Caenorhabditis elegans: one gene and its partner. The protein of the gene in region 1 interacts with the protein of each later gene in a pairwise test. Each region holds a gene or a part of one and is shown in the gene's direction. Other genes may lie near its edges.

Evidence for each region.
Region 2: the proteins of rps-27A (region 1) and Y105E8A.11 interact in a two-hybrid assay, tested with the Caenorhabditis elegans proteins (one large-scale study listed by BioGRID).

What each region holds. Positions count from the first base shown.
Region 1 is NC_003281.10:3,065,082-3,071,415, forward strand, and holds rps-27A (Ubiquitin-like protein 1), read left to right. Parts: upstream 1-3,235; 5' UTR 3,236-3,253; coding exon 3,254-3,386; intron 3,387-3,404; exon of another isoform or gene 3,405-3,481; intron 3,482-3,492; coding exon 3,493-3,662; intron 3,663-3,724; exon of another isoform or gene 3,725-3,802; intron 3,803-3,891; coding exon 3,892-4,080; 3' UTR 4,081-4,129; downstream 4,130-6,334. Other genes in the region: H06I04.3 (Putative rRNA methyltransferase), read left to right, coding at 5,471-5,537, 5,597-5,749, 5,816-5,925.
Region 2 is NC_003279.8:14,429,482-14,436,055, forward strand, and holds Y105E8A.11 (BolA-like protein 3), read left to right. Parts: upstream 1-3,309; 5' UTR 3,310-3,311; coding exon 3,312-3,483; intron 3,484-4,040; coding exon 4,041-4,189; 3' UTR 4,190-4,269; downstream 4,270-6,574. Other genes in the region: hpo-13 (Non-lysosomal glucosylceramidase), read left to right, coding at 498-953, 1,938-2,202.

The sequences.
Region 1 (6,334 bases):
TACCTAACTGTCGGGGAGGCCAGGGAAATTGGAGAAATTATAGAGAAAAACAATATAACTAGAAATTAACTAGACACGCAGAGAAATTAGGAAATTGGGTTATTATGTGATTGATCGAGTTAACTTTTTACTACTACTACTATTTCAAAAACAAATTGAATATTTGTGTTGGGAGAAGAGATGCGAAAATTTTGTAAACTAGAAATATATTTCCCTTAAAATTTCCTACAATTTGTCAGTTGAAAACTTTTTGATAGCTATTTTCCCCGCCGAGATACAAGCGCTCAATGGTGGGGAGGGGCGCCTGCGTCTTTCCCCCTCCCACACTCTCTCACGGAGAATTTAGCTTTGTTAAGCCATAACTAGTCAGAAGATAATTTGTTATCAGTCTGAACTGAAACTAAATCAATACGAATTATTAACAAACTGAAATCGTCAACAACTGAAAAGATATCACATCAATGTTAAACAAAGTATAACTCAAAAACTATGAGAGCTATCATAAAATTGTCAACTAACAAATTAAAGCCCTTGAAATTCCCTATATTTTGTTAGTTGGAGATACAAGCGCTCAAAGTTAGTGGGGTGAGAGAGTGTGGAAGGGGGAGAGACGCAGGCTCCCTCGATGTCTGCGTCTCTCCCCACTCAATACTCTCTCGTCTCTCTAATTTCAAATCGCTGTAATTTTGCAACTATGAAAATTAACAAAATGTATGTAGAGAATTTCAAGATTTTTTTTTGGAATCCTATTTTTTTGAAATAAAAAATTCCTCTATTATCAAACAGGTAGAAGTTTCGACACATTTATTGAAAAAAAATGAAGAAAGATTTCTCAAGAAGCAGCTCCTTCAATAAGATGACATCAAGCAACGGGCAAGAAAAGAGAAATTGTTTGAAAAAACCGAGAGAGTGGAGAGACGCAGAGAGTTGAAGAAGAAGAAGGAAGTGTAATCACTGCTTGCCCCCCTTCTTCTTGATGACCAGTAAATATCACTTGAGAAAACGACGGAGAGAGAGAGAGAGAGAGAGAGAGAGAGAGAGAGAGAGAGAGAGAGAGAGAGAGATGAGAGACGCAGTAAAGTTCAAAAGTCTACGGGGTTTGTGTTGACTAATAGGTACAGTTTCCTTTCGAAATTTACTATATTTTGTTAGTTGAAAACTTTTCGATAGCTATTTTCTGCGCTGAGATACAAGCGATTGAAAAAATGGGGCTAGAGAGTGTGGGTGGAGGGGAGACGCAGACAGCGCGCGCGGCCTGCGTCTCTCCCCTTCCACACTATCTTGCCTCATCTACTTTGGGCGCTTGTATCTCCGCGTGGAAAAGAGCAATCAAAAAGTTGTTAACTAACAAAATGTAGACCTTAAAATTTCCTATATTTTGTGAGTTAACAATTTTTGATAGCTTCTCTCTGCGCGGAGATACAGTGCATATTTTTCCACTCCAACCATTTTAAAGGGAGGCTCATTTATACAGAATGGTCTTGACGCGCGTTTAGTCATCATTTTAAGCAGTTTCTGTGTGAAATTTGTGTAGATAACAGTATATGAATCACTTATTTCGTATTTCTGTAGCTTTTCCACAAGTTAATTGTGATCTACGCGATATTTTTACACAGAAACTACTTAATATGATGACTAAACGCGCGGCAAGACCATTCTGTATAAATGAGCCTCCCTTTAAAATGTTAAAAGTGGAAAAATAAATGTACTGTAACTCGGCGGAGAGCACCGATCAAAAAAATTTTCAATTAGCGAATTATAGCACTTAAAATTTCCTATATTTTGTTAGTTGGAAACTTTTTGATATCTCCTCTTCTCACTGAGATACAAGCGCTCAAAGTTAGAGGCGCTAGAGAGTGTGGGAGGGGGAGAGACGCAGACGGCACGCGCTGTCTGCGTCTCTCCTCCTTCCACACTATTTCTCTGCGAAAATCTTTAACCGTCAGTATCTCCAAATCGGTGAGAGCTATCAAAAAATTTTCAACTATCAATATACTTCATTTTTAATATTCTACAAAAATCGCCAGGCGGAATTTTCAAAAACTTTGAACAATTCCTGGAAAAAGGTAAATTATTGATTTTTTACGAATTTCTCAACTTTCCAGACCTTAAACTCAATGTTAAACTACTCTTCAAATATAAAATGCATGAAAATTCCATTGTTTTTTGCTCAGAAGCCACTTTGAAATAGTCCCAAGGGTGCCCAAGAAATGGGTGACATTCGTCCATTTGTCCATAACAATTGCACATATATATTTGGTGTTCAGTGGGGATTTTTTTGGAGAATTTCAGAAGGAAATTTGAAAAAAAAAGCATTCTTTTTCCTTTCCGAAACGGCCAAAAGTCGGGAAAAAAAGAGCAATTAGGCTCGAGAGCACCCATAAACAATTGCATGAGTTAATTGAGAATTCGGAGCACGGCGTCGAATCGATTCGAGCTCACTCACGCGAGCGACGGGGAGCACAGCACACCACTGAGAATATTACATTTCTCGTTGTCTGGGAGGGTGGCTCGGAGCAATTCAAGACGACTCGACGCGGGGAAAACCGAAAAACAAGGGACAACATTTTTTCTTCCAGATTTTTGAGATTATAACTGAAAAAACAAGGGTTTTCGGCACATTTTTTCTGAAAAATTCCCAAATTCTAGCTTGAATTTTGAATTTTTTAGTGAATTTTAAACATTTGCCGTGAAAAACCATTCGGAAATCTTTCCATTTTCAGGTTTTTCACCTTTTTAACCACTGTAAATCTCAATATCCAAGTGGCTTTTTGTGGAGAAATTGTAAAATTCAATGAAGTTTCATCTGGAATTTGAACGTTTTCACTCGATTTTTACCATTTTTTCACCAAAAACCACCTGAAACTGGAGCTTTTTCGTTCAATTTTCAAATTTTTAACATTTTGTCATCATTTTCCACTTCTGAAACCTGAAAATCTGAAAATTCACATCCGAAAACCTCGAAATTCGCTTGAAATTTTTTTTAAGCCGCGCAATTTTAATGCAAGCGCGCCCCACCGCACTACTTAGAAGTGCAGGTTATACGGTAGGCGGGGGATTTTAGGACGACTTTCTCTATTTTTCAACACTTTTTCGATTTTATTCTCGCGTTTTGGCCTAAATTTTCTGATTTTTTTTTGGTTTTTGCTGTTAAAATTGATCGATTTTCCTATCTTGTCCAATTTTTCTCTATTGAATCCCCTTTTTTCTCTCAATTTATTGTTGTTTTTTGCAGAACTAGGGTCAGTCAAGCATGGTCTTCGTTAAGACACTCCACAGAACCTTGTTCCTCGAGGTCGCCGCCAACGAGGATGTCTTGAGCATCAAGCAAAAAATCGAGGCCGCCGAGGGAATTCCAGCCGAAGAGCAGAGACTCTGCTACGCCGGTTCGTTTCGTTTCACGCAGAATCTCGAGAAGCGATTTCCTGACACTCGTCGGGTCGCTTTGAGGACAGACCCTGCCGTACACATTCTTGATTTTTACCTGTTAAGGACGTCAGCTCGAGGATAGCGATTGCGGAATCGACTCTGAGGCCACCATCTACGTCAACCTTGAGCTTCTCGGAGGAGCCAAGAAGAGAAAGAAGAAGGTCTACACCACCCCAAAGAAGAACAAGAGAAAGCCAAAGAAGGTCAAGCTCGCCGTCCTTAAGTACTACAAGGTAAGCAGAGTTTCGAATTCGTGAGAAATATCTTGCTCCAGCTCTGCCTAAAAAGTTTGAAACGATGATGATGAAGAATTTTTGATATGGTGTCAGGACCTCTGAGAGTTCCGTGATGATGTTTAGAGTTCCTGAATCTTTTCAAATCTTCTAGGCAGATTAGCAGAGTAGATATTTTCTGATAACCAATTTTCATATTTTACTGGCCATTATTATCATATATTTCCAGATCGACGAGAACGGCAAGATCACCCGTCTTCGCAAGGAGTGCCAACAACCATCATGCGGAGGAGGAGTCTTCATGGCTCAACACGCCAACAGACACTACTGCGGAAGATGCCACGACACCCTCGTCGTTGACACCGCCACTGCCGCTGCCACCTCTGGCGAGAAGGGAGGAAAGAAGGGAAAGAAGTAGACTGTTGTCCAATTTTTAACCTTCAATCAAAATAAATGTTGATTTTTGATATTCTTGCTATATGTTCTTCGGGAGAAAAGTTTATTCGTAACACATCGGAGGAATTATTTGTTTCAGAATTTGAATATTCTCCAGAAAATAATTAACCAATGACTTAATTATGATGTCATAACTTTGGAAAAAAACAAGATCTCACGTGTCCGCCTTCTCAAATAGCAAGAGATGCCCGGTCATGACCAGGATACCCTTGAATTGAGGATTGAATTCCCGCCAAATTCCTAGGATTTTTCGTTCAAAATGTCTTTTCTGAACGCTAAACCTCTCGTTGTTGCATTTTTCGCGTAAAAAGCTAGAAATCGGCCAAAAGCAGTGAAATTTTGCATAAAGCTGGATATTTGCTCAAAAAGCTAAAAAATCACCTCAAAAAGCTCAAAATTCCGTTTAAAAAGCTGGTATTTGGCTCAAAATATCCAACATTTCTCTGAAAAAAGCTGGGAATTAACTTAAAACGCTCAAAAATTCCGCTTTCAAAGCTGAAAATTCCGCTTAAATTGCTAAAATTCGGCTTTATAAGCTGGAAATTGGCTCGAAAAGCTGAAAATTCCGCTTAAACTGCTAAAACTCGGCTTCAAAAGCTAGAAATTGGCTTGAAAAGCTCTAAATTCCGCTTTAAACGTTGGAAATTCCTCTTAAAAAGAAATTGTCTCAAAAATCTCAAAATTTCGCTCAAAAAGCTGAAAATTTTGCTTAAAACTTAATTTTTCAAATTAAAATGCTACCCTTAGGTCCCTTCTTTCCTTTTCTCAAGCATCCACCCATTTTTTATTTTGAAAAATTTGAAAAAAATTTTAAATTCCTCGCTAAAGTCTATTTTATAAAATAGAAATAGTTATTTTTTCCAAGAAATTAAAGAATTTCAGACATAAAAACGAGGCTACCCGTTTTCCGCGTAATTTATTTGAGCAAATTTCTAGCTTTGCTGAGCAAAATTTTCCGATTATAATGCAAAATTGTGAATATTCCGATTCCAATTCCCGCGCATTAGAATTAACGACACTCCGATATTCCGCCGGTGCGTGTTGTTTAGCGCATTTATTTTTTCGCCTAAAATGTTCGATTTTTCGACGAAAATCTGGATTTTCTCGGTTTTTTTCGCATGAAAAATGAAAATAAACAGTTTTAAATTGAAGAAATAAAATTTTCCCCCTGAAACTTCAGTTTTCTGTGCAAAAACCCCTTGGAACCGTGCTGTAACTTCTTTTTTTTTCGAAAAAATAACATTTTAGGCTCAAATATCTTGTTTTCCGTTGATTCTTGTCGTTTTTCTCACTAAAATCTTCAATTTTCATCACTTTTTTCAGGGTAACACACAAAACCTTCCAAACTAAACATGGGAAAGAAGGTTAAAATTGGAAAACAGCGTCGTGATAAGTATTACAAGCTTGCCAAGGAAGCTGGTGAGTTTTTTAAAAGAATTTTTCATTGAAAAATCAAAAAAAAAATCGATAATTTCCAGGATACCGATCACGTGCCGCGTTCAAATTGGTCCAACTCAACAAAAGATTCGAATTTTTGGAAAAATCCCGTGCGACGGTCGATCTTTGTGCAGCGCCGGGAGGATGGATGCAAGTAGCGTCTCAATTCATGCCAGTCTCCAGTTTAATCGTTGGTAAGACTGAAAATTCGCGTTTTTTAGCGAAAATCCGGCAAAAAACCCAAAAAAATCCATTTTCAGGAGTCGATTTGGCACCGATCAAGCCAATCAAGAACTGTATCGCTCTGCAGGGTGATATTACGACGAATGAGACTCGTGCGGCCATTAAAAAGGAGTTGAAGACATGGAGTGTACGTTTTTCGGCTGAAAAATGATGGAAAATGGCTGAAAATCGGGAAAAATCGAGATAAAAGCTTGAATTTGAGATGAAATTCGAGAAATTCGAGGATTTTCTTGCCTTTCTCCACGAAATTGTGGAAATTGAGCTAAAATTCGAGATTTTCAGGCATTTTTTCACTGAAAATTCAGAAAAACCTTAATTTTGAGTTAAAATACCTTTTTTTGCAATTTTTTGGCAAAAATAATCCCAAAAATCTGGTAATTTTGAATAAAAAAAACCAAAAAACCTTGATTTTGAGCTAAAAATCTCACAAATTTGTGCAAATCTCAATTTTTGTCCAATTTGGCCGAAAAAAAGCTGAATTTTTAGCTAAAATTCCAACATTTTCAACAAAATTTAGGTAAAAGCCTAATAACTTT
Region 2 (6,574 bases), on another chromosome or scaffold:
ACCAAATTGAAATTTCCAAGCTAAAATCTTTATTTTCACCAATTTTTACGGACTTTTTCGTTGTAAAATCATAAAAATGAAACAAATTCAAACATTTAAGTTAATTTTATCGGAAAACGTCAATTTTATAATTAAAATTTTTCCATTTTTCCGATTTTTTGATTTTCTCTGAAAAACACCATAACTTTAAAAAAAAACTCAAATTTAAATTTTCACGTGGTGTCAGGTTGTCCCATAAAGGTTTGATCTACAAAAAATGCGGGAATTTCTCCACAAAGAAATGTGACGTCGGCATGCGAAATCAGTTGAGAAGTCTACGTCTGAATTCCCGCATTTTTTGTAGATCAAACCGATATGGGACAACACCTGACAACACGTGAATTTTTTTGCAATTTTTCTTTCATTTGCGAATGAAGTTTTTAAACGAAAATTTAGAAAATCGGAAAATCGGAAAATATTTCGATTTTTATACATTACTTTATCATTTTTTTTTTCAGGAATACTCTCGAAAAAGCGAAAAAGGTATTCATCGACACTCTATGGACAGGAACCTACTTCCGATTCTGTGAGCGATCCCGTAGTAGAGAAACAGTGATGGCTGATCAACTATGTGGTTATTGGTTCCTTCAATCAGTATCTCCTGAACTAGCCGACGAGCTTCTCCCGAATCATATGGTCCGATCAGCGTTGGATACGATTTATCGATTGAATGTGTGTAAATTTGGAAACGGACGAATGGGTGCAGTAAATGGAATGAAACCGTCAGGAGTCGTAGATCGGGAGTACATTCAGGCTGATGAAATGTGGACGGGTGTTACTTATGCAGTTGCATCGTTACTTATTCAACAGGGAGAAGTGGAAAAGGCGTTTCATACGGCGTCGGGGAGTTATCTGACATGTTTTGAGGAGACTGGACTACAATATCAGACGCCTGAAGCACTTTATGAATCGAAGTGAGTGAGATGTTGAAAATTCAAGAAGAAACTATCTAGTTTGTAGTATGGAGCAGTCCTATATGTATATATATATATATATATGTATTTGTATATGTATATGTATATGTATATGTATATGCATATGCATATGTATATGTATATGTATATGTATGTATATGTATATATGTATATGTATATGTATATATGATTACGGGAACACTAAATTCTGAGAATGCGTATATATATATATCTCATAGCGAAAACTACAGTAACTTCTTAATGTCGATTTACGGGCTCGATTTTCGGATTGAATTTTTTTTTCGAGTTTTCGTAAGTCATATTTGATCGTGAAATAAATTATTACCGTAAATCCACATAAGCAGTACAGTAGCATTTTAAAGAATTACTATAGTTGTCGCTACGAGATATTTTTTGCGCGTTAAATGTGTTGTGCAACACGCATATTTAGTGTTCATATAATACGTTTTATAAAACATTAAACGATAAATTTAAATTTCCCGAATTTTGAACTCGAAAAACTGAAAATCGAAAAAATTGTGAGGAAAAGAAATTTGTTGAAAAAAAAAACTGAAATTTGTTTTTTTTAATAGATTTTTCCAAAAAAAAAAAAAAAAAATTTTCCACACATTTCTAAAAAAAATCCCAAAAAAAATTCAAAAATTAGAAAAAAATCCAAAAAAATCAAAAATTATTTTTTCAAACTTCCAAAAATACTCGTAATCCCAAAAAAAAAAGTTTGAAACTTTACAAAAAATTAAAAAAAAACATTAAAACTTTTTTTTTTTTGATTCCAGAAAAATTTGGATATTCAAAAAAGCAAAAATTCATAAAACTAATTCCAAAAAATGGAAATTTATTTTTAAAAATAGAAACAAAAAATTCATATCCAAAAAAACAATAATTTTGGAATTTTTTTTTTATTTCCAAACATTTTTTCTTTAAAAAATCCCAAAAATTAATCCTAAAATATCCGAATTTCAGATTCTACCGAGCCATTGGTTACATGCGTCCTCTATCGATTTGGGCAATGCAATGGTCACTAAAAAAGCATTGTGGAATGAATACGAGTGAAGAAAAATTGCCGAATTTGGTGAAAAATGAAAAAGTTGTTCCGGAATCCGAAGCAGCAATTCAAGTACAGAAACAACGAATATTAGGGGATACAAGTGAAGATGGTTCGAGTTTAGGATATGTTAGTGATTATCATGATGAGAGGAGTATTCCAAAGATTGCTACACTACGATAATTGTACTTTTTAACTGATTTTTTTGGATATTTTCCCGATTTTTTGTATTTTACGTGGTCTTTTATTTTTCGAATTTTCGATTGTGCAATGACGTTTTTACAATGCAATACAAGTATTTTTTTGAAAAATTTTTTCTGATTTTTATATTTTCTGTTGTCCATTTAGGATATCAATTTATGCTATTTGCCTTTTTTTTTTTTTTTGGAAAAAAAATTTGAATTTCTTGAAAAAGTTAGCTAATTACGGTGTTTTTTAGGATGAGCTTTTTTTTTTGAAAAATTAAAAACATTTTTTGAATTTTTTCCTCAATTTTTTGAAAATGTTATAGTAATCACGGAAGCTTAAATTTAAAAAAAAACCATTTAGAATTTTTTTTTCACAATTTTGAAACTGATTTTTTTTTTTGAGAAAATTCGCATTTTTTCAACAAAAAAATTCTGAAAAATGTTGACAATCTGTATTTTTAAGCTAATTTTTAAAAGCTTAATAATTGGGAAAAAAATCAAAAAAATTCAATTTCATGTAATGTAAATTATGCATTGCAGGTGACTTTTTGAATGTAAAATTTGAAAAATTTGATTAAAAAAAGTTTTTTTTGAATATTTCGCTAAAGGAATACTTTCTAATTAACTAGATAAATATTTTAACTTTTAAAGCATTTTCTGGTAATTTTTTGGAATTTTCAAATATTACGAATTTTTGTCGAAGTTGAATTCTAGAAAATCTTTAAAAAAGTTTGAATTTTTTGAAAATTTTTTCGAAAAAAAAAAATTTAATTACTTTTTTGAAAAATAGAACAAATGTAACATTTATTATATAATATATAATAGTATATAATAATATAATAATATTTAATAATATATAAAATATATAATAATAATATATAATAGAACATTTATTGATTTTTTTTCGAAAATTTCAATTTTTTTTCTAATTTTTAAACTAAAAAAGCTAAAATTACGAATTTTCGGCATTTTTCAGAATTTATAAAAACCTCGAGAATTTGAAAAAATAACAAATTTTTTGTTTAAATGTGAAATTTCTTGTTTTTTTTTCTCTCCAAATCTGAAAAAAATCGAAAAAAAAGCTATCATTTCTCGAAATTTCAGATGCTCCGCCTTGCCACCCCACTGAGATCAGGCCTCCTCTCCTCAGCAATCAGGCGTCACTCGGCATGTTGTGGTGGAGAGCACAAAATGTCAGAAGCCGAGCTGAAAATGAGCAAGTTGCTCACTGAGGGAATTGATGGATGTACTCGTGTCGAGGTTCACGATGTTTCTAGTGAGTACGCTACAAACTACAATAGGCATACTACAGACTACAAAATATACACTACAAACTACAATAATCACACTACAAACTACAATAGACATACTATAAACTAGTATAATCAGACTAATATTTGTAGTTTGTAGTCTATACGTGGGGTATTCATTCATGATTTTTTTGTTCCGCTCACAAAATTAATGGTAGAAATAATGAAAAACAAGTTAGTTACTGTATACTATAAACTACAAACTACAAACTACGAAATATAAACTGCAAGCCAAACACTACAAACTATAAACTATACACTACAAACTATAAAATGTACACTATAAATTCCAAATTATACAACACTAACTACAAACCATACACTACAAACTACAAAATATATCCACAAACTACTATCTATACACTACAAACTACAAATTGTATACGACCAACTACAAGCTAAACACTACAAACTATAAAATGTACACTATAAATTCCAAACTATACAAAACTAACTACAAACTCCAAAATATACCCTACAAACTACAAACTATACACTACAAACTACAAGCTCCATATTACAGATGGCTGCGGATCAATGTTCGACGTGGTCGTTGAAGCCGCCGGTTTCAAGGGAAAATCGAAAGTTGCTCAACACAAACAGGTCACCTCCATTCTCCGGGAGCAGATTAAGGATATGCATGGGCTCACGATCAAGACAAAAGCCGCCTAGATACTAATTATCGATTTTTTTTGTCTAGTTATTGATTAGTTCAAAGGACATAATATCGTAAAGAATATTTTAAATTCGAACTTTTTGAATATTGTAGATCTCTTTTTTTGCAAAAAAATCGAAATTCGCGCGCGCTAATCAGGAGATCATTTACCAATGGATTCGATGCACATGAGATAAAATATTGGGAGAAAGGGGAAAATATCTGAAAAATGGGTTAGAAATGGCTGAAAATTACGAAAAATCGATAGTCGATGCACCATGACGCCAGTTTTTTTGCTGAATTTTGCGAAATATAGGCCTGAATTGTGTGAAGTCTTAAAAAGGGCGGACTAGAAGATAAGCCTGTAAATTTCGATCTGAACAAAAAATAGTCAGAATATAATAGTTCTAAGAATGTTTAATACTGTTTTTGTACAACATTATGTATTTAGTTTATCCATGTCTTTATACAATACAACTCTTATTTTATTTCATCACGAGTTTAATCGGTAATAAATCAAATCAATAGAATTATTTTATTAATAGAATAAAGGTATAGGATGTAACTGCCACTCACGCACACTGATCGATCTTATAAGGGTTTATTAAGTAAAAGGGAACAGACGAATTGCATCGTCGAAACAGAGTAAACGAGAGAAAAGGGAAAACGACAAGTAACGGGTCAAAGAGTTAAGAAATGATGACAAATGAGCGTCCTCCTCTCCTTATATAGGCATTTCCGGGTTAAAGGCGCAGCCTTTAACGACGACGGGTCTCGACGCGACAATGCGACCAACGACAGCTTGGCGGCGGTTTGAACTGGAGTTTCTCCTCCACACGAATTGTCCTCGCTGTAGAAATCGTTGTCCTTGACCGATTTCGTCCGTTCTTTCTGTAAATTATCAGAGAGAATTTACAGGCAAATAAATTAGTATTTATTTATGTAAAATGTGAAGTGAAAAGGGTGGGTATCCTTACAATAGTATCAAAATTAAAACTGCACAGACATTTGCATTAAAATCCTCCGAACATTGATGTTTATGTCAATTGTTGCGAGTTTTCCGTCAAAACCTTCAATAGATATTTGATTCTCAATAACTCCATTGATTCGCTTGAAAGACAATTTTCCTTTGTACTTGATACCACTGAATACTTTTTGAATATACTTTTTCAATTTCAAGTGTCTAGTTTCAATGAGAGCCTCGAAAAGTTTCATCCTTGGGTTTGATCCATGAATCCAGTGTTTGAAGAACTCATTTAAGAGATGGGCTTTAATTTGGTAGTTTAGTTTTATAATAGTGGAGTTTGTAATCCATAATAACGAAGTTTCCATTCTAAGGAACTCTACACAATCGTGATTTTCCAATAATACCTTCCGCATGTGAGAATTGCTGTCATAAGAAGTATCCCTGCACTTGATATGTATCTTCTGGACAGTATCTAGAAAATTTCCGAATTCTCGTTTCCAGACAAAGTAGGGAAGGGGTCTACATAAAGATAATTCGAATACTTCTATCTTAATCCCATCAAATGCTGGATAAATCGATTCCGATCTAGGCTCGCCGGGATTTAGCTTTTGAATCTTTGATAGATGAAATAATGCTTGGAAATGATTAATGAGCACTTTTAATTCAATTTTTAGAGTTTTCCATTTTTCAGACAGACGTCGAACTTAATCCATTTGGGTAGCGTATTGAGAAAGTATTTGAAAGTTTTTCAGTGATTCCGTCTTCATCAAGTCGCTCATCAGCATAGAAAAAAGCAACACTTCCGTCTGCTAATCTGACAGTAATGTGGATAATCGGTTCCACTCTCGGGACAAATATCACGTTTATACTGGATCCTTTCATATTCTGAGCTATTGCCAGATTTTTGCACTTTTGTGAGACGAATGAGAAGTAGAATCTGCAAAAGAATTTGGGATCAAAAAATTGATAATCGAAAGGGGAAAAAATGGCTTACAAATCCACGCGATCCATGATTTGTAGTGCATTTTGTAGAGATTTTGGGGGTAAACGGAGAATTGGAAATGGAGACGAGGTAGGGGTAGCCATAGGAAAACATAATGAGGACACCTGCTGCCGGATAATCGGCAAGATACGTTAATTAGAGCTGGGCGTGTGTGCAGGTTTGCTCACATTGAGCAAGGCATTGGAAGCAGCTTGTAATTACTTACGACGGATTTTTCGTCGAGCTCGGAGTATTTGCACACTAGATGGCTGAAAAAAAATTTGGGCAAAAATAAAAAGTTGTCTAAATTTGTTGAAAACGGGTAATTCATGTATGTTGAATTCAGAAAATCTAGGTTTAACCCATGAAAAACCATTAGAAAGTGGCAAAAATGAGCAATTTATGGCAAAAATTCACAACTTTGAAACACATCTAAAATGGGCAATTTTGTAG